Diceros bicornis minor: one gene and its partners. The main gene of each other region encodes a partner of the protein of the gene in region 3 in a complex. Links are inferred from orthologs where the notes say so. Each region holds a gene or a part of one and is shown on either strand. Other genes may lie near its edges.

Region 1 (7,646 bases), about 21 Mb from region 3:
TACTATGGTAGAACCATATAATAGAATACCTTAAGACCATAAAATTATGTTGTAGAAAATTTTAATGACATGAAAAAAATGTTCATAATCTATTAAATGAAAAAAAAGGTTTTTAGTGTATGATTTTTAAAATAAATACAGGCACAGAAAAAAATTGGAAAGAAATCTATCAGAATATTACCCATAGTTTGTCTGAGAGGTGGGATAGTGGGTAATACTATTTTTTTGCTTTTCCATATTAAATAAATTTCTTCCAAAAATATGTGTTACTTTATAAAGATGTTAAAGTTATTTAAACACTTTTGAAGCTGATAGATTAATATTAATGTTTCCTTATTCCTTTTTAATGTAATTTACTGTGGACACAGCCTTACCTCTAGTTTAATCGGTCTGCCAGTCCACCTCACTACAGGCTTGACTCAAAGTTACAATATACTCTGTCACCGCTCTTCTGAAATCTTGAAGTCTAGTGAGTGCTTCTTATCAAGAAACTGGAAGAAGCAGAAAGGTGATGAAACAGGTTCAAGTTCTCTGTAATTAAAAAGGTTAACAGAGAACAGGAAGGGGCTAGAGAAGACCAAGGATACCCACCCTCAAAACCAAAGAATGCTTCTGAGAGCTAAGGTCTAAATAGTGTGGCTCCCCCTAAATGCCAAACTTCTTAACAGATTGTTGTTTCATCAGTGTAAAAATGTTCTTAGTGTACATTTGCTGTCTCCTGGTGTCTTTGATATTACATAATTCCACTTTAAAGTAACCTTTTCAAAACCTGCAAATTTAGAAAGACTGACACCAACGGTGGTAGTGTGCACTTCTATCCTATTCAAACATCAGGACAAATAGTAGGCACACTTAAAATATGAAAAAAACTTTTACTATCTTTTTTTAATTTAAAAAAGTAGAAATTGCATTAAAAAAAAATTTCTGAAGTAAGCTCCCACATACAATTTTATAGCTTCCTCACTAATCTTAATCCCCTTAATCAAGTTTCTCTATGCAAACAAACAAAAACAGAACCCCTTCCAGTTATCTATACTTTTTTCACAAAGTGAAAAAAAGAGACCCAGGAAATGCTGAAGAAAAAAATATATAGGGGATATAGAAGAACTCTGAACCTCTCCTGGTACCCAAACAAGAAATGAAGGACCTTCCCACATAATCCTGTCTCCTGGAGAAGCTTAATTGCAACTGTAGGGTAAATAAACTTTATTAAAGTTGGAATACACAGACTTAAGTATAAGCCTGGCCAAAACAACCCTATTTTATTTAAATAATTTTAAAGTTTAAACAAATTTACCAATCTAGTTGAAGAAATCGTTTTCCATACCTGCAATTTCATAGTCAATTTAGATAATGCCTCCCGCCTATCCAATTCAACAGATATTTAGTGGGTGATTTCTGTGCACCAGGACTGTTCTAGTCCCTTTCTCACCAAACTCTGCTTATCAAGAGCCAATATGTGTCCCACCTGCTTCACAAAGCCACCCTTGCCCATTTTAAGCCTCATTGATCTCCCTCACCTCTGAACTGCCAGGGCACTTACAAAACAGTAGAGCACTCAGATGCTGTCATGTCTTGTTCTGATTGTCACTTGTCGATTTCAATCAGTCTTTTGTCCTCAAGCATACCAGAAAACCCTTGAGTACATCATACACCTGTATACCCACAGTATCTAACACCAATCTCAGCTCACACTACACCCTCAAAGGTCAATTAATTAGCAAAGTAAGCCGGGGGCCACGATAATTTTGATCCCAAGAGTGACCATACTGAACTGACACACCCAACAGTACTCCTCCAAAGCAACCAAGGGCACTCAAGTTCGATTTAGGGGTGGCTTAACAAGGGGTGTGATCCACTGAGGCTACAACACAAGAATATCTTTATTATAGCAGCAAACAGTTCGATTTTTGACATCAGATGAGACAAATTCGAAGAAAAACCAAGATGTCAAGACAAGGCTGAACCTGGAAGTACACCAAGCGATGATCTTAAAGAAAATCAGTAGAACACTCAGATGCTGTCTTGTCCTGAGCAGGACTAATCTGGGGGAAGTCCTTGGTACTTAACTTACTGTACTAGAAAACTGCACGGAAGGAAAAAAAAACGTATATCAGGAAAATAGGGGGAGTAAAACAATCCTACAATATTATAACCTGATTTACACTTTTCCTTCCCCTCCAATCTATAAATGTTCTAGGATAGGAAATTAGGCAATAATACCTAGTGATTCCATACAAAAGGGAACGGCTGAGTAGACACGGATAAAACAGAATGAATTTAAAACCCCAAATAGAAAGACAACTCCAAGCGGAACTACTCTCCCTCAATTACGTTCTCACTCCACCTCATTTACCTCTCTTACACAGTAGTTCTAAAATGTAGTTGTTTGTGACTGCATCTGTTTTCCCCCCACAAACGCCGCACTTCTTGAGGGCGGGGCTACCGTTTCACCCATTTCTCGCAATGTATCCGGACTGCGGGCTTCGGTTTCCTCTTCCATAAAGAGGCCTAGGAATAGCACCTCCTTCATTGGCTTGGTGCGAAAATTAAATGAGAAAACGCACGCAGAGTGCTCAGTTCACGCGTGCGTGGTAATAACTGTCGTCACGGTTGTTATCAGCCTACAGCCTCCCGCAACTCCTTCTTCCCCCTATTTCCCACGGCCGGCCTCTGCCTCTACCTCCAGACGCAGCCCGCTAGACCCGTTCCCGAAAGAATTCAGGGGAAAATCCTGTCACGGAGAGAACAGTGGCCCAAAGCCCGGCTCCCCCTCCGCCCCGCCAGGACGGCGTCCCAACCTCCAGAGAAGCCCAGGCCTAGAGGCGCGAACCGCGCTAGGGGCTTGGAGGCGACCTCTAGCCGTTCAAAAATTAGAGACAGACAGCCCGCGCCCCAGCTGCTCCCAGTTTCTCCCCACGGCTCACCTCACCTCAGCTCTGACAACTGAACGCCCGCAAGACCCGCCGCGGGATTCATTCAGTACCGTTGAAAATTTGAAACCAGGCGCTCTAGTCGAATGCACCAATCAGGGTGCCGGAAATGGGCAATCCCAGCCTCCCGATTGGCCCTAGAGAGCGCACCGACGCCGGAAGTCAGTGTGAGGTACAAGCAAACAACCGGCCAGGGAGGCTCCTGGGAAATGTAGTCTCATGCATTGCGTGAGCCCATTGGAACAATTCTAGTAAAGAAATTACTACAAAGCCCAGAATGCTCGGCTCCACACTAATTGGGAAAGATGGTACTAACTGAAGAGATGGGGAATCGCTTTAGATAACAGAACGGCGTGCATCCTGGGCCTCCCTAAGACTTTCCTGGAAGAAAATCATTTATTTTGTTTTTTATTATTCTCTATGTAGTTGTGCATCGTGCCTTAAATGTGCATAGGAACTCACTTCGCTTTAACATGGAGTCCCCTGTGTGCAACATAGATTCGCCCCCAGCTTCTCTACCAAACGTGAAGGAGTCTGTCAAACCTTTATCCCGTCCACGCCCTGATGTTACTGGCTTAAAAACGCGGTTTGCTGGGTACTTCCTCCCTGGGTTTACCATCCTCATAAGAGAAGACAAAGCCTCGGAGAAGTTGAGTAAGCTTGTCTAAAATCACGTAGTAAGTAGAGGAGATGTGGTTTGAATTAAGAATGTCTGGTCCTATACATGATCATAATCAATTACAAAATAACAGCGGCAATGAGAACAAAAAGATTGTGGTTCATAGTAACAACAAAAACTACAAAGTTAAAAAACAAAATAAGCCTAAGACCTTTATGGGAAAATTAAAAACTGTAAAACTTCATTGAATAACTATAAAAATAATTGAATGAGGTTATAAACCTCATTAATGAATTGTTGTTAGCGCCGTTGAGTCCCCTCCGACTCCCTAATGACCTTGTATACAGCAGAGTGGGACCCTGCCCGTCTTTTTGCGCCATCCTCTCACCTTCTGGTGCTGTATCAGACAATGCTCTGCTGCTATTCATGGGGTTTTCCTGGCCAATTTATAAGTGGGTGGCCAGGTCCTTCTTCATAGTCTGGAAGCTCTGCTGAAACCGGTCCACCTATGGGTGACCCTGCTGGCGTTTGAAATACCAGTGTCATAGCTTTCAGCATCACAGCAACACGTAACCAACACAGTATGACAACTGACAGATGGGCATGTGGTTTCCTGACAGGGAAACAAACCCTAGCTGCTGTGGTGAGAGCACTGAATCTTAACCACTAGACCACCAGGGCTGGCTGTTAATGGATGGGGACAACCAATGTTGTAAAGATGTTAATTCTCTATATTAAAAGTTCAAGGCAATTCCAATGAAAACCTCAATAGGTTTTGTCATGGAACTTACCAAGTTGATTATAAAATTCATTTGGAAGAGGAAAAACACAAGAAGTGGCGTCTGAATTTTGAAAAATAATAGGGGGTAATTTCCATACCAGATCTCATAAACATTAACATTATGAAATTATAGTAATTTTTAAAGTATGGTTAATTGACTCCATGGGGATACAATCAGCAAAATCCAGACAGGAAGACTCTACAGGACAAAAGATCTAGTTTCTTCAAAATATAAACTGCAAGGGTTTTTTTGTTTGTTTAAAACTATTTATGTTTTAGAGATACATATAGAAATGGTAGGGATGAAATGACTCTAGAATTTGCTTCAAAATAATCAGGAGTATGCAGGGGAGGGAAGTAGGTGGGAATATAGATGAAACAAGAGTAGCCACAAATTGATAATTGTTGAAGCTGAGTGACAGAGTCATGATACATATACACATACATATATGCACTTCTTACATGCACTTGAAATTTTCCACAAAGTTTTTTTTCTTAAGTAGGGTATTGCCATAGAAATTTTTTTAAAACAACAAGAAAATCAGTAGAAGAGTTTAAGAGTGCAGAAACCGACCCATGTATATCAGAGTTTAGTAAATGCTGAGTAGAATTTCAAATCAGATGGAGACAAACAGATAATGGAGTTGGGACATTTGCTTTTCATTTGGGGAAAATATTATGTTAGATTTTTATCCCACACCATTTACAAAAACAAATTTTGGATAAAAACCATAAAGATATTTTTTAAAATTAAAAATTTTTTAATTTTAAAAGAGTATGTATATGATGCTGGGGTAGGAAATTTTTAAGTAAGACATAAGGAGAAGGCTAAGACATAAAGGAAAAGACTGATCAAGCCAAAATTTTAATATTCTGTTTGACAAAAGAAAAACAAGCCTGAGGGCCGAACTATTTCTAACACATATAACAAAGGATTAGAACCCAGAATTTTAACAAACAAAAATCTCCTATGAATCAGGGAGAAAAGGATAAAAATTCAATAGAAAAAAATGGGAAAAATAAGCAATTCTTAGAAAGAAAACTGGCCGTCAAACACATGAAAAAATGTTTGGTCTCACTACTAATAAGGGAAATTTAAACAAGGAGGTACCATTTTTCACCCATCAGATTGACCAAAATTAAAAGTTTGACGGAGGGCCGGCCCCATGGCTTAGCGGTTAAGTGTGCGCGCTCCGCTGCTGGCGGCCTGGGTTTGGATCCCAGGTGCGCACCGACGCACCGCTTCTCTGGCCATGCTGAGGCCGCGTCCCACATACAGCAACTAGAAGGATGTGCAGCTATGACATACAACTAGCTACTGGGGCTTTGGGGGAATAATAAATAAATAAAATTATAAAAAAAAAAAAGTTTGATGGTATCAAGGATTCACAAGGTAACTCAACAGGTAGGAGGATGGATGAATTTGACCACTTTAGAGGGCAAGTTGGCAACATGTATTAAAATGTCAAACATGTGTGCCCTGCGACCTAGGACTTCTGTTTCTAGGTTTAGCTCCAAGAGACATAGTCATCCATTTTCATGCAGAGGCACTGAGTCACAGTCACTGCAGCGCTTACTGACCGCCTATTGTGTGTTAGTCACTGTGCTAAGTGTGGAGATACAGCAGTGGTAAGACATACAAAATCTCGGTTCTCAGGGAGCTGACATTCTAGTGGAGAAGACAGACACTAAACAAGGTAAATAAATAAATGATGTAGTGTATTAGGAGGTGATAAATGCAAAGCCATTTGCTCTCCAGCCCCTGAAGTGTGGATGGAAATAAGAGGAGGAAGGCTGGAGCTGGACAGAGACAAAGGGAGGGCCCACTTTCAGCAGAGACATGACTGGAGACCACCAGGCACGTGCAGGGCCGTGGAGTAGCTAGGCCCGGGTGGGGTGGGGGTAGCTCCATTTATATTAGGAGGGAAGGGGCATCGGAGCCAGGCTGTGTCCGGGACCTACTAGGCAGAAGGTGCTCAGTGAGTGAGTGAGGCAGTGCCAGGAGGCCAGGACTGTGCGCAAGGACTTCTCAAGTCCTTCCAAACTAACAAGAGGTAAGCCTGGTCCAAGGGATTCCTCTCATGTCATTCCTTCTGGCTCTATTACATTCTAGGCAGAGTCTCAAGTTCCCATTCTTCATGAATGGGAGACGTGAGGTCTGAAATCACTAAAGCGGAATTTCAGAGCTGGAAGGAAGCACAGCCACACCCGGTCCACTCTTCCCACAATTGCAGCTATCACCGTTCGGGCCTTAACTATGTGAAAGGAATTCGAAATTTTCATTACGGTAGTTCAGGGACATTTGGGCAAAGACCTGAAGAAGGTGAAGGAGTGAGCCATGCAGATATCTGAAGGAAGAGTGTCGCAGGCAGAGGGAACAGCAAGTGCAAAGGTAGGAGCATAGCAGACATGTTTTAGAAATAGCTAGGAAGTCAGGGTGGCTGGATCAAATGGACAAGGAAGAGAGTTATCAGGAGATGAGCCCAGAGATATTCTGGGGCAGGAGGCAGACCAACTGGGCCATTGTAAAGACTTCGACCTTGACTCTGAATTAAGTGGGAGTCCTGGGAGGGTTTTGAGCATTGATTTACTCTCTGATTTTAATGGGATAATTTTGGCTGCTGTGCTGAAAACAGAAGGAAGGGAACGAGAGTGGAAATAGGGAAATCAATTAGTAGCCTGTCCCATTGTGGTTGTGAGAAATTGGAAACCACCTAAATGTCCATAAGTAGGGGACTATTTCAATAAACTGCCTTAGAATGGAATACTAAGCATCAGTTCAAAAAGAGTTCGATAGATCTGGACTGACAGCGGGGTGTCTTTGAGACACATTTTTGAGTTAAAAAACAAATTACTAATTGATATAAATTCACTATGAGACCATTGTTTTTTAAAAATATGCGAAACGATGCTCCATTTGAGCCATGGGTGTGTACAAGTAATAACAGCTAGCACTTCTCTGACACTTAGCATATGCCAGGCACTGTTTGAAGTACTTTACATGTATTAACTCATTTCTTCCTAATAATTACCCTATGAGGTAGGAAATGTTATCATTTCCATTTTATAGATTGAGGAACTTGAGGCTCAAAGAGGTTAGACAACTTTTCCACTTTCACAGTTTGTATGTGACAGAGGCAAGATGTGAACTCAGGAATGTCAGCTCCAGATTCCAGACCCTTAACCATTGCCCTATGCTGCCTGACCTAGACATGGATGTATATATAGAGAGAAAGGTATAGGAGAATTCACAACCAACTGACAAGTGTGGGAGCTTCAGAGGGGAGGAGCTACACTGGACTTGTGGACAGAC
Region 2 (7,615 bases), on a different chromosome or scaffold from region 3:
GGAGCTGAGGTGGGCCCGCTGGAACTCCTGTCTTCAGAGGCTGGTCTCACGTCCCCTGGAGGGGGGTTGGCATCCAGCACTGCTGGTTTCTGGAGAATTCCATCGGTCGTTTTGGTGTCCACTTCCTTGGTGAACTGTTGGCTTTTTAGAAACAGACTTAGTTAATACTAAGCAACCCATTTTGTTTTTTACATTTTAGCCCACATGAAAACATTAGCTAAAAACAGAAAAAAAGAATGTTTAGTCAACCATCTCCTCAGGATTAACTGTCACAAGTATAGTCCCATAAATCAATGCTGGTGAGCAACCTAGGGACACACGGGTTTCTGAGAGTGAGCAGAAACCTGACAGATACATGACCAAAGTTAAGGTTTTCTGTGCTACCCTACTTTCCCCTTTTGGTTGGGGACCACCAGCTACATAGTCAGGGACAGTCAGGCACACGAGGGTCAAGCCCTTCACTGAAGAGAGAAAGGCAGGTCGAGAACACTGCCTTCAGAAAGCAGGGTCCCAGCTCCTAGGGCCACCCTCCCTGGGTCCTCCTGGCCTGCTCCCTGACTTCTGCTCTGTGGCTCTGCAGAAACAGGGCAGAGGCAGGAACCACCCTGGCCCTCGAAGCAGGTCAGATCCTGCGGCCAAGAGGCCGGGTTTCCCTCCCTTCCTGAGGCTGTTATAAAGGAACAGTATTTAAGTCCCTCTAATCTCACTCAGCTGAATTTCAAAAAGTATAAAACTGAAGCTGACAAGTAGCAAGGACACCTGGGGAGGGGAACAGATTCAGGCTCGAGGAGCTTCCACGAGGAAACAGAACCGTGGCCCCAAGAACATTTTACTTAAGTTAGGTGAAGGATATGTTAGCGATACTTTGCTTTTATACCTTGCTCTGTACATCTGAAACCTGTTTAGAAGAAAATGCAAGTTTTAAACAGCTTAAGTCAGCAAAAGTCAAAATGAAAATGTGCCAGTGAGGACCCTTCCCACTCTGGATGCAGAGGGTCCCTGGGGGCCTCAGTTGGGTTAGTTCAGCCTAATCTGGGGGTGAAGAGCTGCCACTAGGGTTCTCCTTTCCAGACAGAGGCAGGAAAGGCCGTGGCACTCACTTAGTAGACCAAGCCAAACACCTAACTCCAGGTGAGGCTGCAAAGAAGCTTCTCCCAGTTAAAGCCAGGTGTTTAAAACCTGGTCCCTGAGGCCACTCGCACTCTGACCAGATTACACAACAGACATCTCCTCTGCCTTTAAAAGAACACAGCTCAACTTGCAAGCAGAAGAGAGACCCCAGTGGAACACAAAAAGAGACATAAAACCACAAAGTGCCCTTCCTTAGAGATGTGAGCAGGACATTTCGTGAAGCTAGAGAAACAAAAAATGAGGCCAACTTGTTGGCAAGGGTACAACGAAGGAATGGAATATGAAATTTAAACTTATTATAAGTGTTCCATTATCCACTTTTCCAGTAACGACTTCCGATGCCAAATACTCTGGACCATGCACCACACAAGCTCAGAGCGAGACCAAGAGAAACTCAACCAGATGAGCAGAATTTTCCTGCCGAGTCTACGAGAGATGCTACAAACTGCAGTACACAAGCAGCACCCACACTTACTTCTCTTTCTGCGTCCAGACTTGAGGAAGGTTTCTTAACCCTCCGGCGTCACCCAGAGCAAAGCAAGCCTCCGGTTTGCTGCTCACAACAGGACTTAGAACTCTGTGCGTCTGTGGATCCCGCAGAGGTGTCTGAAAAGTCACCTGTTGGGAGGGAGACAGCACCTGTTCACCAAGTTCGTCTTCAACCACTATGCGAGGAGCACCCTGCCCTGGCAGCTCATTTAAGTCACCAGGAAAGCAGGTTCCAAGGTGACCTAACATGACACACGGTGATCTCACATAGGCACAACGCGCTCACCTTCACGGCTTTGGCTATGCTTTTGGGTGGCACATTTTCCTTCTGTGACAGACGAAGAACAGATGATCTTCCGGTAAGTTCTGGTGGTGAAAACAGGAAGTTGCAGTTCTCTGTACTTTTGTCACCAGTGACATTTTCGTCATTGAAGATCTGCAGACTCATTCTGAAAAAGCAAACAGCGTGTGTCAGCATGAAGGCAGCGACACTGCGGCGCCTGGATGCACCAACGTGAAAAAGATGGAGCTGACTCTGCAGCTCGGCCGGGAGGATGGCCCCTTCCTGCGCAGCTGGTCACACCTCAGGCAGTGTGTCCTCTGCCAGGTGCTCCCTGTCCTGCTGCAGGGGAGCCACCACCTCCCAGGCCTAAGGGCTAGAAGGGCCTTCAGCCTTTGGGGCAAAGAGGAAAACCCAGGTGCTCCCAACAACTCGAACTTCATGGGTAAAAGTCAAGAGACAAGTAAAAGGTGGCCTTGGAGAACACCAGAAGAGGCAGAGGAAGCCTAGGTCTCCCACAGGCCTCCACTCGAGGCGCCAAGGCTGTGTCAGAGCTGGAGCAGGTGGCCACGCTGGCAAAGAAAAGAAAAGCGGAAAGGTGCGGTGGCTCACTCTTCCCCACGTGGCTGGGAAATAGAGACAAGGTGAGGGCAGCAGGACCGCCAAGGCCCAGAGGAGGAGCTGGCAAAGGAAATACGCAGTGAGGTGCAGAACTAAGTGGGGAGCTTCTACATCGGGGCCTGGAGTCTGGAAATACACCAGGAGCCTCCAGTCAGGCCCAGAAGGTTCTGGAACAGCCCCATTCCTTCCTACAGTTCTCATCATGGTCGCCAACATGACATTCCCAATCTAAGAGTCATCAGAGAACTGGGTATGGACCTGCGCAAGGCCGCACCATGGGTACCTGCTGGTGGTGGGGGCCCTGGGGGCTGCAGCTCGAACAAGGCTGAGGTGTCTGAGGCAGAAAGGTGCAAAGGGGGCCTGGAGGGGTGTGAGGTCGGCACCTTGGAGGGTGTGAGAGGAGGCCGGGAAGTGGCGTCAGAGGCTCCTGCAGCAGGCCTGGGCTGGGTCAGCCCTGGCTTGGCCAGCGGGCCCCCCTTCGGTGTGTGGAAGCGGGAAAGACTCAGGAGTCCAAGGTGACAGCTAGGTCTTCCGCCTGAACAACTGGGTGAAACACGGAAGGGGGCCTCGAGGACAGCTTTCTGGCCGTCCCTGGCCTGGGGAAGGTGGGAAAACAGTGATGGCGGTCTCAGTCGGTTTGGCTTCTACTGACCACGGGACCACGGGCGGGGGCTCCGGAGCAGAGGCCGCCCTGCGTGCGCGGACTGCGGTAGGGCAGCAGCGGGCGGGGAGGGCTCGCGCCCAGGTCTGCGGCGCAGGGGCGCGGCAGTGGGTGACGGCTCACAGCTGGGGCTGGAGGAAGCAGCAGAAGCTGCCCCGTTGGAGGGGGGCGTGGCCGCGCAGAGCCGGAAGGGCTAGGGGTCCGGAGTCCCGTCTCCGACACCCGGGCAGGGGGGCGGGCAGCGAGCCGGGCGCGCGTTCGGTGCTGGAGACGTGCATTTGCAAACCACAGCTACGGGTGGTATGTGAGGCTGGACAGGGTCACCGAGGTGAGGGGTGGCCGCGGGCCAGGCCCTGAGGGACCCCGACACACGGACCTCCTGGAGGATGACCCTCGCGGAGGGCGACAGAGGGGAGGCGGAAGAGCCAAGAAGGCAGGAGCCCGCCGGGCGTCTCGGACGGCGGGGCAGAGGTCACCCGGCTCCGCTCCGGGCTACGGCGGGCCGGCGGGATGGGCCCGCTGAGAGGGACCGGCGAGAAAGCGTCCTTGAAGAGGCGGCGGGAGGGCAGGGGCGCCGCGGGGACACGCCGAGGGTGGACCCGCCGCCGGGAGGGCGGGTGTCGGCAGCTCCGCGGCGGACAGAGGCCGGGGCCGGGCCGGAGGGTGCGGAGGAGGCTGGGATGGAGCCCCGGGCCGGGACCCGCCCGCCGCCGCCGCCGCCGCCGCCGCCGCCGCCTTACCTGCCGGCCGCGGTGCGGAGCCGAGAGAGCGAGAGGCGCCGAGTCCAGGAGCCCGCCCGCCCGCCGCCGATTCAAATCCCGACGGTTGGCGCGCGCGGCCAATCAACGCGCGGCTGGGGCGCGACGCACGGGACGCCGCCGGCCAATGGGAGGCCGCGCCTAAGGCCACGCCCCCGCGCGCCGGCGGTACCGCTTCCGGGGCGGGGAGCACGCTGGGCGCAGTGCGCGCCGGAAGTCCTCGGGAGCCGCGCGTTGCCGACGAGTGGAGGGTCAGGGGTGCTCGCAGGCAGACGATGACTGCGGGGCCTGCTGTCGCTTGGGGATCTCGTGCTCTGCTACGGACGGTAGACTGGGCGGAAAGGCCGGAGCCTGAGAGCCGCTCGCCCGGGCTTCAGTATGCCCAGCTGTAAAATAGGACCAGGTGTAGCGCCGCCCCCAGGCCGGGTCGTGAGGAGGAGCCGAACCTTCGCGAGGATTGTCGCGGCAGCTCACGACTTCGGGTCATGTGCGGGAAGCGGGAACTCCATGTTCCGTAGTGCCCCACGGGGCTCGATCTCTCACAGCGTACTGCGCCGGCTTGACGGTGGGACTCCATCTCCCAGAGTGCTCCGCGGGCGGGGGAACTCCCATTCCCAGAGTGCCCCGCGGGCGAAGACCTCGTCTCCCAGCGTGCTCCACGGGAAATCCCATTTCCCAGAGTGCCCCGCGGGCGAAGACGTCGTTTCCCAGAGTGCTCCACGGGAACTCCGATTTTCCAGAGTGCCCCGCAGGCGAGGACTCTATCTACCAAACGGCTCCGTGGGCCCCCTCTCCCAGGGTGCCCCGCGCCCACCGGACCGGGAAGCTCGGGCCTGTTCCCCGCGCCGGGGGCGGCGGGTCTCGCCGACGGTTCCCGGCGGCGGCGCGATGGACAGCCCGGAGGTCACGTTCACGCTGGCCTACCTGGTCTTCGCCGTGTGCTTCGTGTTCACGCCCACCGAGTTCCACTCGGCCGGGCTCACGGTGCAGAACCTGCTGTCGGGCTGGCTGGGCAGCGAGGACGCCGCCTTCGTGCCCTACCACCTGCGCCGCACGGCTGCCACGCTGCTGTGCCACTCGCTGCTGCCGCTCGGTGCGCCGGCGGGGCCCGCTCGGGGGGCGGAGGCGGCCGCGCTGCGGGCTCCAGAGGCTGCCGGGCCGCAGGGTCACCTGTCTCGGAGAGTCGGGGAGGGCGCTCGGGGAGAAGCGGCCAGCCCCGAGAGCGAGGCTGCGTCCGCCCGCCCGGCCGCTCGCAGGGAGCAGAAGAGCAGGCTCGGACCCCGGGGGGATGCTCGCCCGCTGGGGCAGGCGCGAGCGGTCACATGGGGTGGGGGGCAGTGCCCCGGAGAAGGGTCTGAGGGCGGGGGTCTGGGGGACAAGGTGGCCCTGCCCCAGGCCTTGGACGGTGGGCGTGGGAAGGGCAGGCAGAGGTAGCGACGCCAGGCGGGGTTGTTACAGGTGCGGAGGCCGGGGAAGGCATGTGTGTGGCCGGCCCGCTCCGAAGTTGCCCAGGGGTCGTGCTGGGCAGTGACTTGGGGCCTAGCTGGGCTCTGGGGGTCGGAGTGTCAGCTGGGTGGACGGGGGACTGGCTGGAGAGTGGGGGAGCAGGCGGGGGTCCGGAGAACACGCAGGCGGAAGCAGGTCTGGGAGGGCAGGGGCGGTGGCCCTGCCTGCAGCTCTGTGGACACGGAGGAGTGTCCACCTGGCAGGCGCGCAGCAGCCTGGCCAGTATGGGGAGCGGCAGGAGGGGCCTGGGCTGAGGCCGGCCGGTGCATGGGGGCTGCCTGCCTGCGTGGACGGCGCGCCGAGTGGAGCCCACGCCGGGATGGGGAGGGAGCTGGCGTGGTGAGCTGGTGGCCCATGTCTTATGGGCCGGGTGGTTGCTCTGCGTGGTGTTGCGGTAACTGCCTGGCCGCCTCCACAGAGCACCCAGCTCCCTGTGAGCAGGGCAGCCCATTAGCCCCGTGCCCAGGTGAGGAGCATGCGGCCTGGGGCCTGGGCTCCCCTGAGGGTGGCGGGTTGGCTTCTGCCCTGGAAGCTCAGGAGCCCTCCAGCTTCCTGGAGCCCGTGGGGGGCTGGGCCACCATCCGAGGACGGGCAGGGACATCAGGACTTAGGGAGCAGAGTGACTCCAGGAGGCCACACCCAGAGGAGGAGGTGGAGCCTGGCCTTGTGGCTGGACACAGGGTCTTGTTTTGTTTTCCAACTTCTTTTGAAATGCCTTTTTTGGGAAACTTTGAATCATATTTGTCGCTACATGATAAATTATCTTAAAATGTAGTGATTTCGGCAATAGCAAACTTATGTCATTATTTTTGTGATTTCATAGCTGCCACTGCACCCCATCACTATCTGCGTTATTCATTTTGAGTGCAAAGTGGCCTCAATCTGGCCAGCAGGGGCCCGGAGCTGGCTCCTGTGTTCTTGCTGACAGCCCCCATCGTTTGGCACACGATGTCCCAGCCCTGGGATGGGTCACACTCAGAGGGGTGGGGTCAAGAGGCCAAGATCCCACTCTGTGGAGGGCAGCTGTGCATCTGGTGACACCAGATCATTGCATTTGTTGTTTTTCTAGTTTTTTTCAGTATTCTTATGTTGTGTAAAATTAAAGTAGCAAATTAAAAACGTTTTTCCCTTTTTTATGGGGTCACTGTCCGGGTCAAGGCTGATTTGGGCCAGTGTGGAGGCAGGTGAGGTCCACCTGCTCTGGGTACCCTGGTCTCGCCCTGGGAGCTGACCAGGGCAGAGGGCCAGGCCCAGGGTTGGGGACGAGAGGAACTTCCCTAGGAGGTACAGGGACAGCACTGTGGCCCTCACTGGGGGAGGACAGTGGCCTGGCAGTCCCGACCTTTGCTGAGACTCACTCTGTTGCTTGCAGGCTACTACGTAGGCATGTGCTTCGCAGCCTCAGAAAAGCAGCTCTACTCCCCGAGCCGGGCCCCAGAGGCCTGGCAGCTCTTCCTCCTGCTGGTGGTCACCCTGCTGACTGTCACCTGCTCCCTGATCTATTACTGGTCCCGGGACCGGTGGGCCCGCCACCCACTGGCCCGTACCCTGGCCCTCTACGCCCTTCCGCAGTCGGACTGGCGGGCCGTTGCTTCCTCTGTCAACACCGAGTTCCGGCGGATCGACAAGTTTGCCACGGGGGCACCGGGAGCCCGTGTGATCGTGACGGACACGTGGGTGATGAAGGTGACCACGTACTGCGTGTATGTGGCCCAGCAGCAGGACGTGCATCTGACAGTGACGCAGTCGCAGCAGCACGAGCTCTCGCCGGACTCCAACTTGCCGGTGCAGCTCCTCACCATCCACGTGGCCAGCGCCAGCCCTGCCGTGCGGGCCTTCGACATCCGGTAGGCATGCCCGAGGTCAGGTGGGGGTGAGCCAGCCAGTGCCCAGGTTCCAGTCTTTGTGCCCCCCGGGAGGCGATGATGTGTGGAGCAGCCCCTGCAGCCATCCCTCCAGTGCCTCCCCCTCAGAGCCCCCACTGCACCCCCCAGGCCCCTCCCTGGCCCCCTCATCCCTTGCCCCCCTTGCGCCCCACAAGTACCCTTTCCTCTCTCTTTCTCCAAGCTCTTCTCTGAATCTGCCTTTTCAGCTTCTTTGGGGAGCATGTTGGGGACACTTGGTGGCTGTACAGGATAGACGCTTGGTGGCTGCCTCAGCTCTGAGGTC
Region 3 (7,988 bases):
TCTCCTCTGACTGCTAGACTCCGTTATCTAATTACCTGCTCAGGGTCCCCCGGAAAGGTCCACCAGACATCTCAATCCTAACACATTGAAAGGGAACCTCTTCTCTCCACACTTCATTTCCCCTCTGCTCACAGGAGCACCCTGAGCTCAGGGCCAAAGCACTCTTCTTTTCCAGCTACACTCACTCCCTAGGTGAGCTCATCCAGTCTCCTGGTTTTCAATACCATCCACAGGCTGAGGACCTCCAAATTTCCATCTCCAGCTCACACCTCACCCTTAACTCCTACCACCTACACAACATCTCCACCTGGTACTCTGAGAGGCGTCTCAACTTTAACCTGTCCCAACCTGAAGTCCTGCTCCCTCCCACCCACCTCCCCAAACCTGTTCTCACAGAAGTCCCCACCTCAGCTGATGGCAAATCCGTCTTGCCAGCTGCTCAGGTCAAGTCTTGATATAATGTTTTACACGGTTCCCCCTCAAACCCCATATGTAATCTATCAGCATATCTTGTATGCTCTACCTTCAAAAATCACTACTCATGACCTTTACTGCTACCACCTGCTCACACCACAATTCTCTCCCCTCAATTATTTGCAACAGGCTCCCAATGGTCACTCTGCTTCCACTGTTGCCCCATTATGGACCATTCGCAACAGTGTGCCCAGTGATCCCATTAACAGGTCAGATATGTTGGTCCTCATAGTTCCCCAATCCAAATTCAAAATCCTACTTGCACAGACAGGCCTACAAAGTCTCAAAGAATGTGGAACGTGACCACCTTTCTGACCTCATCTCCTCTTATCTGTTGCATACCAGCCATACAGGGCTCCTTTCTTTCCTCAAAGAAGTCCCTGCCACAGGGCCTTTGCACTTCCTGTTCCCGCTATTAGGCTCTTCCCCTAATAGAAGTGTGGCTTACTCCTTCATTTCATTCATGTCTCTGCTCAGACATCCCCTTTCAGACCATCTCTCCTTTATTTTTCATCATACTCCTTAATATCTTACATAACATCACTTGCACTTGTTTACTGTCTCTCTCCCCAGACTCAGACATCCAGCTACCTGCTCAGTATCTCCAAAGCAAGCAAGCTCCACGAGCACAAGGGCTTAGTCCCATTTTGTTCACTGCTGCCTCCCCAGAACATGCCTGGCACGTAGTATGTACACCAATGTTCTGAGAATGAATTAATCCATTAACAAAGCAAATCAATAATAAAAATAGTTTATAACACTTAGTAAGCCCATACGGTGATTCAGGTACAACCACCTATCAAGTAAGTAGAACATAAACTCCAAGAAAGCAGAAACTTCTGTATTTTTCTTACCCAAGTGCTCTCCGAATTCTAGAATCCAATCAGAAAGTGCTCCCCACCCCTACACTTTCACATTCATTTTATAAATAAGCAAATAACTCCACCTTGAAGATGGGACCACAGCTAAAGAGCTGGGAGTCCTTACTTTAAGCAGTGGGTTAGTAGAAATAGACAAAAAGGAAAAAAGGAAACATATGCTTGTGTTATGAAAATGTTCATTTCACATACACTCTAATGCTTTCTTCACTTTCCCTAACAATTACAAGCAGCTCTACTGAAGTCACATAGCCCTAAGGACATTTATTCAACAGTCTTTGACAGAAGCTACAGATAATTTGCTCCAATTTAATATGTTTCCTTCTCAGGGAGATGAATGATGATAAGCAGAAGGGAATAAGATTCTGACCCAGAAATTCTGGCGAGAGCCCCAGGGAGACTGCTTCTCAGATGATTCTGGCCTACAGCCAGGTTCAGGAGCCACATGGCCAGACGACCTTCACAAGATCCCTACCGCTCAAGCCAGAGATCCTACTATTCTAAACAGGAAAATTGTTAGATTTAATAGCACCGTGGGGTTAGACTTTTCCTTCCTTGTCAAACCTACTAATGTCTGCGTATATGAAGGACAGTGGACAGGAAATAAGTATGTTGCTGAAAAGTGTTTAATTCAAAGAACAAGGAAGGTTGAGGAGGGGACATTAAAAGTCAAGGGCAGTAGCTACACCTACAACAGGGGGGCGTTTGTTAGAAATGGAGACTCTCAGGCCCACCCCCAGACCTAACAACTCAGACCCTGCATTCTAACATCCAGTTGACTAGTATGTGCTGGTCTGGGTCTCTAGTTCTCAATGACACATCAGAACCACCTGAGAGCTTGATAAAAAGACAGACACCTGAGTCCTATGCCCGAGCGCTTCCGATTCATTAGGTGGGTCTATATTTTTGACAAGGACTCCCAGGCCATGCCGACGTATAGGTGGTCCAAGGTCTACGGTTTGAGAAGCGCTGGCCCAGGAGGCCTCTTCCAGGTTATTCATTCACCCACTCATCCAGCCAGCCAGGAAAAGGGGACCTTCCTAGCTGTTCTGTCCCAAGTAGCCCCCGGTAAACCACACGACTGTTTTCTTTCGTAAGGCTCACCACTCTCGGATGTTATCTTGCTAGTTCGCAGTCTGTCTCCCCACCCCCACTCAACTGCAAGACAGCAAAAACCTGTGTTTCTTCTTACCCGATGCTCACTGAATACAAGAACCCCATCTGAAAGCACACCCTCCCCCCACCCCCCAACCACCCCAACCACTCCAGAACACATCAAGCAGCATCTTCAGGGCGCCTCAGTACCCAGAAGCAGATGCGAGGGCGCTGGGAAAGCACAGGTAGGGGACGGGGAGGATGAGGGGGATGGGGGAGGATGAGGGGGATGGGGGAGGATGGGGGCACAGGGACCCTGGGGACGGAGGGCGACGGGGGGGGGGCGCTTCTCGCCCCGACCATTCCCTCGCGGACCCCGCGGACCCACTGGCTGCATCCCTCCCACCCAGGCCGGCCACCCGGACCCTCCCGGGCCCGCCCGCCTTGCAGAGCTGCCCCAGGGTCTACCCACCCGTCAGCTCCTGCCTCCGACCTAAGGCCGCCGAGTCCTCCCGAGAACTCAGCCGTTAGAATTCAAAGTCTTCATTTTAAACAGGAGTTAAACCCTCTAATCCGAAAGCTGATTGGCCTGGGCTAGAGAGGCGCTGCCTTTTGATTGGTTCAGAGCCAACTCGACGCTTGAGTCACGTCCAGGGCAGAGACGGCGCGCAGGCGCACTTGCCCCGTAAGGCCCCGGAAGTGGTGGAGCCAACGGCCCGCCAGACCCCTGGCCGTGCTACCGCCCTTGGTGCTCTCCGGAATCCGACATTTGTCTGTGCGACAGCAGCCCCTTGGCGTCAAGGTTGTCGCGTAGAAGATAAATTCAGAGGAGGTGAACAAACCTCTCGAACGCGCTAGTAGGTAAGATGGCGAGAAGAGCAGGGGAGAGTGGTGCCGATCGATAGCGCAGCGTTCGGCGCGTCTTCCTGCGCGCGTGCGCAGTGAACGTGCGCTCGGAGTGATCGATCGGGCAGGAGTCGCGCATCCATTTTTCTGGAGAGAGCGAGAGACCAGGAGAGCTGGATTAGCGGGTACAGGGGGCCCGGGATACGTGGCGGGGGTGGCTGGTGCGGCTGGTGCGGTGGGCTGGGCTTTCAGGAAGGCTAGGGGCGAGGCGGGAAAGGTCGATAGCGAGCGGGGCGGCGTGTGCCGAGTCGCCGGGCTGGGCTTGCACCCGCCTCGTTTTCCTCAAAGGCCTGGTCCCTTCCCTCCCTCCCTCCTTAGTTCGCCCCTGCGCCGGGATGGTAGCGGAGCGGGCGGTGAGGGGGCGCCTGCGCTCTCGCCCTGGTCCCCCTTCCAACTCCTCTAACAGTCCTGGGTCGGGCTCTTCCTGTCCCCGGGCCTCAGAGGTCTCACCTGCAAGTTGGCGCTGGTAACTAGGCTCTAACCAGCCCAGCGAGCGAACGTTCTAGGGGAGTTGAGAAGCGGGGCGTGTCCTCTCTTTTCTTCATCTCTTTGTATACCCCCGTGATGCTCCTGGCGTGAATGAAGAGACAGGCTGGAATAGTGGTTAAGCTCTGGGCTCTGGTGTGGGCAGTCCTGGCGGCCACTTGAACCTTTGGCGACTTAGCCACATTTTACTTTTCACTGGGATTCCTAACCCCTTTGAGCCGGTTTCATAATCTCCATTGTGTCCTCGTATTGTCTACGCAAGCATAGATTTATATACGTTTGCTTTTACATGTACTTAAATACATTTAATGATTTCATTCGGTGAGCTAATGCTTATAAAGTGCTTTGCACGGTGTCTGGCAACTGCTTAATAAATGTTAGCTATTATTAACACCCACCAGTACAGCCCGGTAAGAAGGGCGGCTCTGGGGTCAAGTAGCCTGGATTAGGATTCAGGCTCTGCCGTTTATAAGCTGTTTCATCCTGAGTTGAGTTAACCTCTCTGGACCTCAGGTTGTCTGTCTCTAAAATAGGATTAGATGAGGATTGAATGAGGTAATGCATATTAGCTGCTTACACGGTATATGTTATATACTGTACGGAATGTCTAATAAATTTTAGCTAGTTTTAAGTTTTTGAGGAGCACTGCAGGTAGTGGTTAGGAACGAGACAGTCTTTAGAGTCAAACCTCCTGTGTTCTAGTCCTGGTTCCTCCAGGCGCTAGTTGTGAGACCATGGGCAAGTTATTTCCCCTCCTCATCTGTTAACAAGATTACAGGACCTCCTTTATAAGATGGTGTTGCCGGTTAGGTGAGATAAAACATGATAAACGCTCAGTGAATGTTAGCTGTTCTTAGGATCAGCAGCCTCAGTAATTCTCCAGAGGGAGTTGTGTACTTAGAAAACGTGGTTCCCCACCCCTTTCCTCTAACACCCTCACCTCCCCCGCTTTCAGAATCGCCCCTGTAAAGTACAGCAGTACCAGGAGGTACTGATGTTGGTGTTCACTCCCTCCTCTTCTTTCTCATATTCATCTCTCTCCTGTACTCTGCCTTTCAGTTTTCTTCTCTGCCACAACTTTTATTCTTTATTGCTGTCCCTAGGCTCCTGCAGTCTTCTGATCTGTCCGTATGTACACATACATAAAGACATTAATTTTTGATAATCAGATTTTCTATCCATGTCCACCAATTGCAGTTTTGTTTTGTTTTTTTTTGGCATAAACCAGAAACCATCATCTACAGTTTTCTGTTTCACTTTCTAAGACTGAGGGAGAACTTAGACACTTGTAAATCGATCTAAGAGCACAATCCTTCAGATTTTTGCATTTTTTTCCATTTTTTAAAGCTATCTTGGCCATATCCTACTTGCCAGTATTTTATTAAACAGTTCACTTTTGAATCTTTGAAAGCATTCAGCTTCATTGTTTTCATAGCATAATAGCTGTTTTGTGCTCATGTGAAGCTCGGTTACTTTAAAACATGTTTTAAGAATGAACATAACTGGTATTAGTAAACATAGAGCTCAGCTGGTGTAAACAATACTGTCCAGACATCGACAATAGCAGCTGTCTTACCTATTGCAAACACCAGTCACTGTTTTATTAACAGAAGAAATGGAAGATTCTCGGATAGCAATAAAGAATAAAAATTGCAAGTGAGTAGTTCGGCATAGAAGAAAAGTTGATGAAGAGACATTCTGCTGTAAATATCAGCAAACATGATTTGAATAATTTCTTTCTGCCACTATGCTCAATGCAGCGTCTTGTTTAACCTTCACTAACTTATTTAACAGATGAGGAACTTGATCTTAGAGAAACGAAGTCACTGACCAAAGATGTTGCAGCTGGTAGAGCTGGGATTTAAGCCTACAAGTGGGACCAGATTCCTGTGTTGCTTCTGTGGTTTGCTAGTGCCTCTGCCCTTCACCGGCCACCTGTTTTCTCTTCTTGCAGCTGGCAGGCAAATTGTCTTCCTGTTCCTCAAGATGTACAGAACCAAAGTGGGCTTGAAGGACCGCCAGCAGCTCTACAAGCTGATCATTAGCCAGCTGCTCTATGACGGCTACATCAGCATTGCCAATGGCCTCATCAATGAAATCAAGCCTCAGTCTGTCTGTGCGCCCTCAGAGCAGCTCCTGCATCTCATCAAACTAGGTAGCTTGTGAATGCAAATTCCTTGACCCCATGACAAGGTTTCAGATGTTTTCACACGTCAGAATTTTTCGAAATTATTTCTTTAGTTTTAGCCTTTAGTATGTATCAAGTACAGTGCTAGATATTGAAGGAGTAAGCAAAGTACAGATTATAAAGATTTCGAGCTGGTTCTAGCCTCAGGATCTTTATACGAATTATCTGAAGCATTCTGTCATTGTATTGACTTTCTTCAAGTTTCAGCTCAAATGTCATCTCAGAGTCCTCTTCACTTCTAAAATAACCCGACTATCTTCCACATAACTCTCCAGTTACTCTAAGACAATAATCCCATTTTCTTCATAACAGAATCAGTGTCTGAAATTTTCTTTATTGTTTTGGGTTGTTTTCCACACAGTCCACACCTCCCCAAAAAAAGACTGCAGGCTCAATAAAGATCAGGACCTTGTCTTGTTCAGAAGTATATCCTGGTGCTTACCTGGGTCACAGAAAGCACTCAGTAAAGTATAAAAGTACCGAAGATGTTTATACCCTTTGACTTGGCAATGCTAGTTGTGAGAATTTGTCCTGAGGATATAAAATGAATATAACTGAAATGCCTAACAATGGGGAATTAGTTATGAATGTTCTTATATCCATAAAATTAGATCCAACAACATGATGTAGATGAACATTTATTATGCTGGCCAGATGTTTATTGTGTATGATTAAGTGAAAAAGTAAGTCACAACATGTTATGTAGTGTAATTCTATTTTTCTATTTCTGTTAAGTGAAACAACTGTATGCATGGAGAAAAGTCTAGAAGAATTCATACCGCCATGTTAACAGTAATAATCTCTGGGTGATATAGAATGAGGACATTTTAATTTTTTCTTCTCTATTTTTAATTTTTGTTATACTAATAAACATTGTTTATATATGAAGTTATTTTTAAATTTAAAGTGCATATTCTTGGTAAACTTGAGTTTATTTAGATAACATTCTTTCAAATACATTTCACTGGTGTTAATGCTGACACTATATCTGACTTAATGAGCTTCAGAGCTGCTACTCACAGGTCTCAGCAGTAAAAATATTAAAATCCAGAATGGGAAAAAATGGACAATTTAACTACAGAACTGCTTTTTTTTTTGAGTTTCTGTAGTTGTGGTTAAAGTAGAAAGTTTTGGAGGCAAAAATCAGGGGAGATGACTTGACCTATTGGAGCCTAACCTTCCACAACCCATATTGCCTTACAGTGTGTGTCACTGTGCATGCGCCCAGGTCGTTACACATAATTGTTTACAATATTAAGTGTCCTGCAGCTCCAAGAAATAGTAAGTTCACATTGGCAAACATCTTGCCCAGTGTGGATCCAGAACTTTGTCTTGGCCTTTTAAAATAGCGTTTTTTATGCCCTTCATTTTTCTTCCTTTCAGGAATGGAAAATGATGATACTGCAGTTCAGTATGCAATTGGTCGTTCAGATACAGTTGCCCCTGGCACAGGAATTGACCTGGAATTTGATGCAGATGTCCAGACTATGTCCCCAGAGGCTTCAGAGTACGAGACATGTTATGTCACATCCCATAAAGGACCATGCCGGGTGGCTACCTATAGCAGAGATGGACAGTTAATAGCTACTGGATCTGCTGATGCTTCCATAAAGATACTTGACACAGAAAGAATGTTGGCCAAAAGTGCCATGCCAATAGAGGTAAAAAATCCCAGTTACATACTTCCTGTTTGCCTTTGGTTGTTCATTCTTAGAAGAATGAGAGAATAGTTGAAACCGGCTTTAACTTAGCATGGTTGTAGGTTGTGTGCTTTGAGTCAAACAGATTTTGCACTTTGAGCATCTCTTCTTTTCTTGTTGGCCTAGGTCATGATGAATGAGACTGCACAACAGAATATGGAAAACCACCCAGTGATTCGAACTCTTTATGACCATGTGGATGAAGTCACGTGTCTCGCTTTCCACCCAACAGAACAGATCCTTGCCTCTGGTTCAAGAGAT

What was found. The genes of interacting proteins can lie anywhere in the genome.
Region 1: the proteins of AURKA (region 3) and TPX2 are in contact, whole or in part, in a crystal structure (PDB 3HA6), measured with the Homo sapiens proteins. The link is inferred for Diceros bicornis minor from reciprocal best matches to the Homo sapiens genes AURKA and TPX2. Residues at the interface, in NP_001310232.1 of Homo sapiens: Lys125, Arg126, Gln127, Trp128, Asp132, Glu152, Gln154, Ser155, Phe157, Leu159, Lys166, Glu170, Gly173, Glu175, Leu178, Arg179, Val182, Glu183, Ile184, Ser186, His187, Leu188, Arg189, Tyr197, Gly198, Tyr199, His201, Val206, Tyr246, Ser249; in NP_036244.2 of Homo sapiens: Gln3, Lys5, Ser6, Ser7, Tyr8, Ser9, Tyr10, Asp11, Ala12, Pro13, Ser14, Asp15, Phe16, Ile17, Phe19, Ser20, Ile31, Asp32, Trp34, Phe35, Glu36, Lys38, Ala39.
Region 2: the proteins of AURKA (region 3) and TACC3 are in contact, whole or in part, in a crystal structure (PDB 5ODT), measured with the Homo sapiens proteins. The link is inferred for Diceros bicornis minor from reciprocal best matches to the Homo sapiens genes AURKA and TACC3. Residues at the interface, in NP_001310232.1 of Homo sapiens: Leu130, Phe133, Glu134, Ile135, Gly136, Arg137, Tyr148, Leu149, Ala150, Arg151, Ile158, Val163, Arg205, Tyr207; in NP_001428248.1 of Homo sapiens: Glu523, Ser524, Phe525, Arg526, Pro528, Val531, Leu532, Gly533.

The regions. Positions count from the first base shown.
Region 1 is NC_080758.1:27,754,858-27,762,503, forward strand, and holds the start of TPX2 (targeting protein for Xklp2), read right to left. Parts: upstream 3,007-7,646; 5' UTR 2,928-3,006; intron 2,560-2,927; exon of another isoform or gene 2,357-2,559; intron 492-2,356; 5' UTR 375-491; intron 1-374. UniProt on the Homo sapiens protein: Spindle assembly factor required for normal assembly of mitotic spindles. Required for normal assembly of microtubules during apoptosis. Required for chromatin and/or kinetochore dependent microtubule nucleation.
Region 2 is NC_080747.1:1,102,157-1,109,771, reverse strand, and holds the start of TACC3 (transforming acidic coiled-coil-containing protein 3), read right to left. Parts: upstream 3,007-7,615; 5' UTR 2,905-3,006; intron 2,070-2,904; 5' UTR 2,069-2,069; coding exon 1,907-2,068; intron 1,750-1,906; coding exon 1,607-1,749; intron 142-1,606; coding exon 1-141. Other genes in the region: TMEM129 (E3 ubiquitin-protein ligase TM129), read left to right, coding at 4,319-5,033, 6,819-7,293. UniProt on the Homo sapiens protein: Plays a role in the microtubule-dependent coupling of the nucleus and the centrosome. Involved in the processes that regulate centrosome-mediated interkinetic nuclear migration (INM) of neural progenitors.
Region 3 is NC_080758.1:6,939,428-6,947,415, reverse strand, and holds the start of AURKA (aurora kinase A), read right to left. Parts: upstream 3,003-7,988; 5' UTR 2,920-3,002; intron 1-2,919. Other genes in the region: CSTF1 (cleavage stimulation factor subunit 1), read left to right, coding at 5,826-5,994, 7,411-7,688, 7,854-7,988. UniProt on the Homo sapiens protein: Mitotic serine/threonine kinase that contributes to the regulation of cell cycle progression.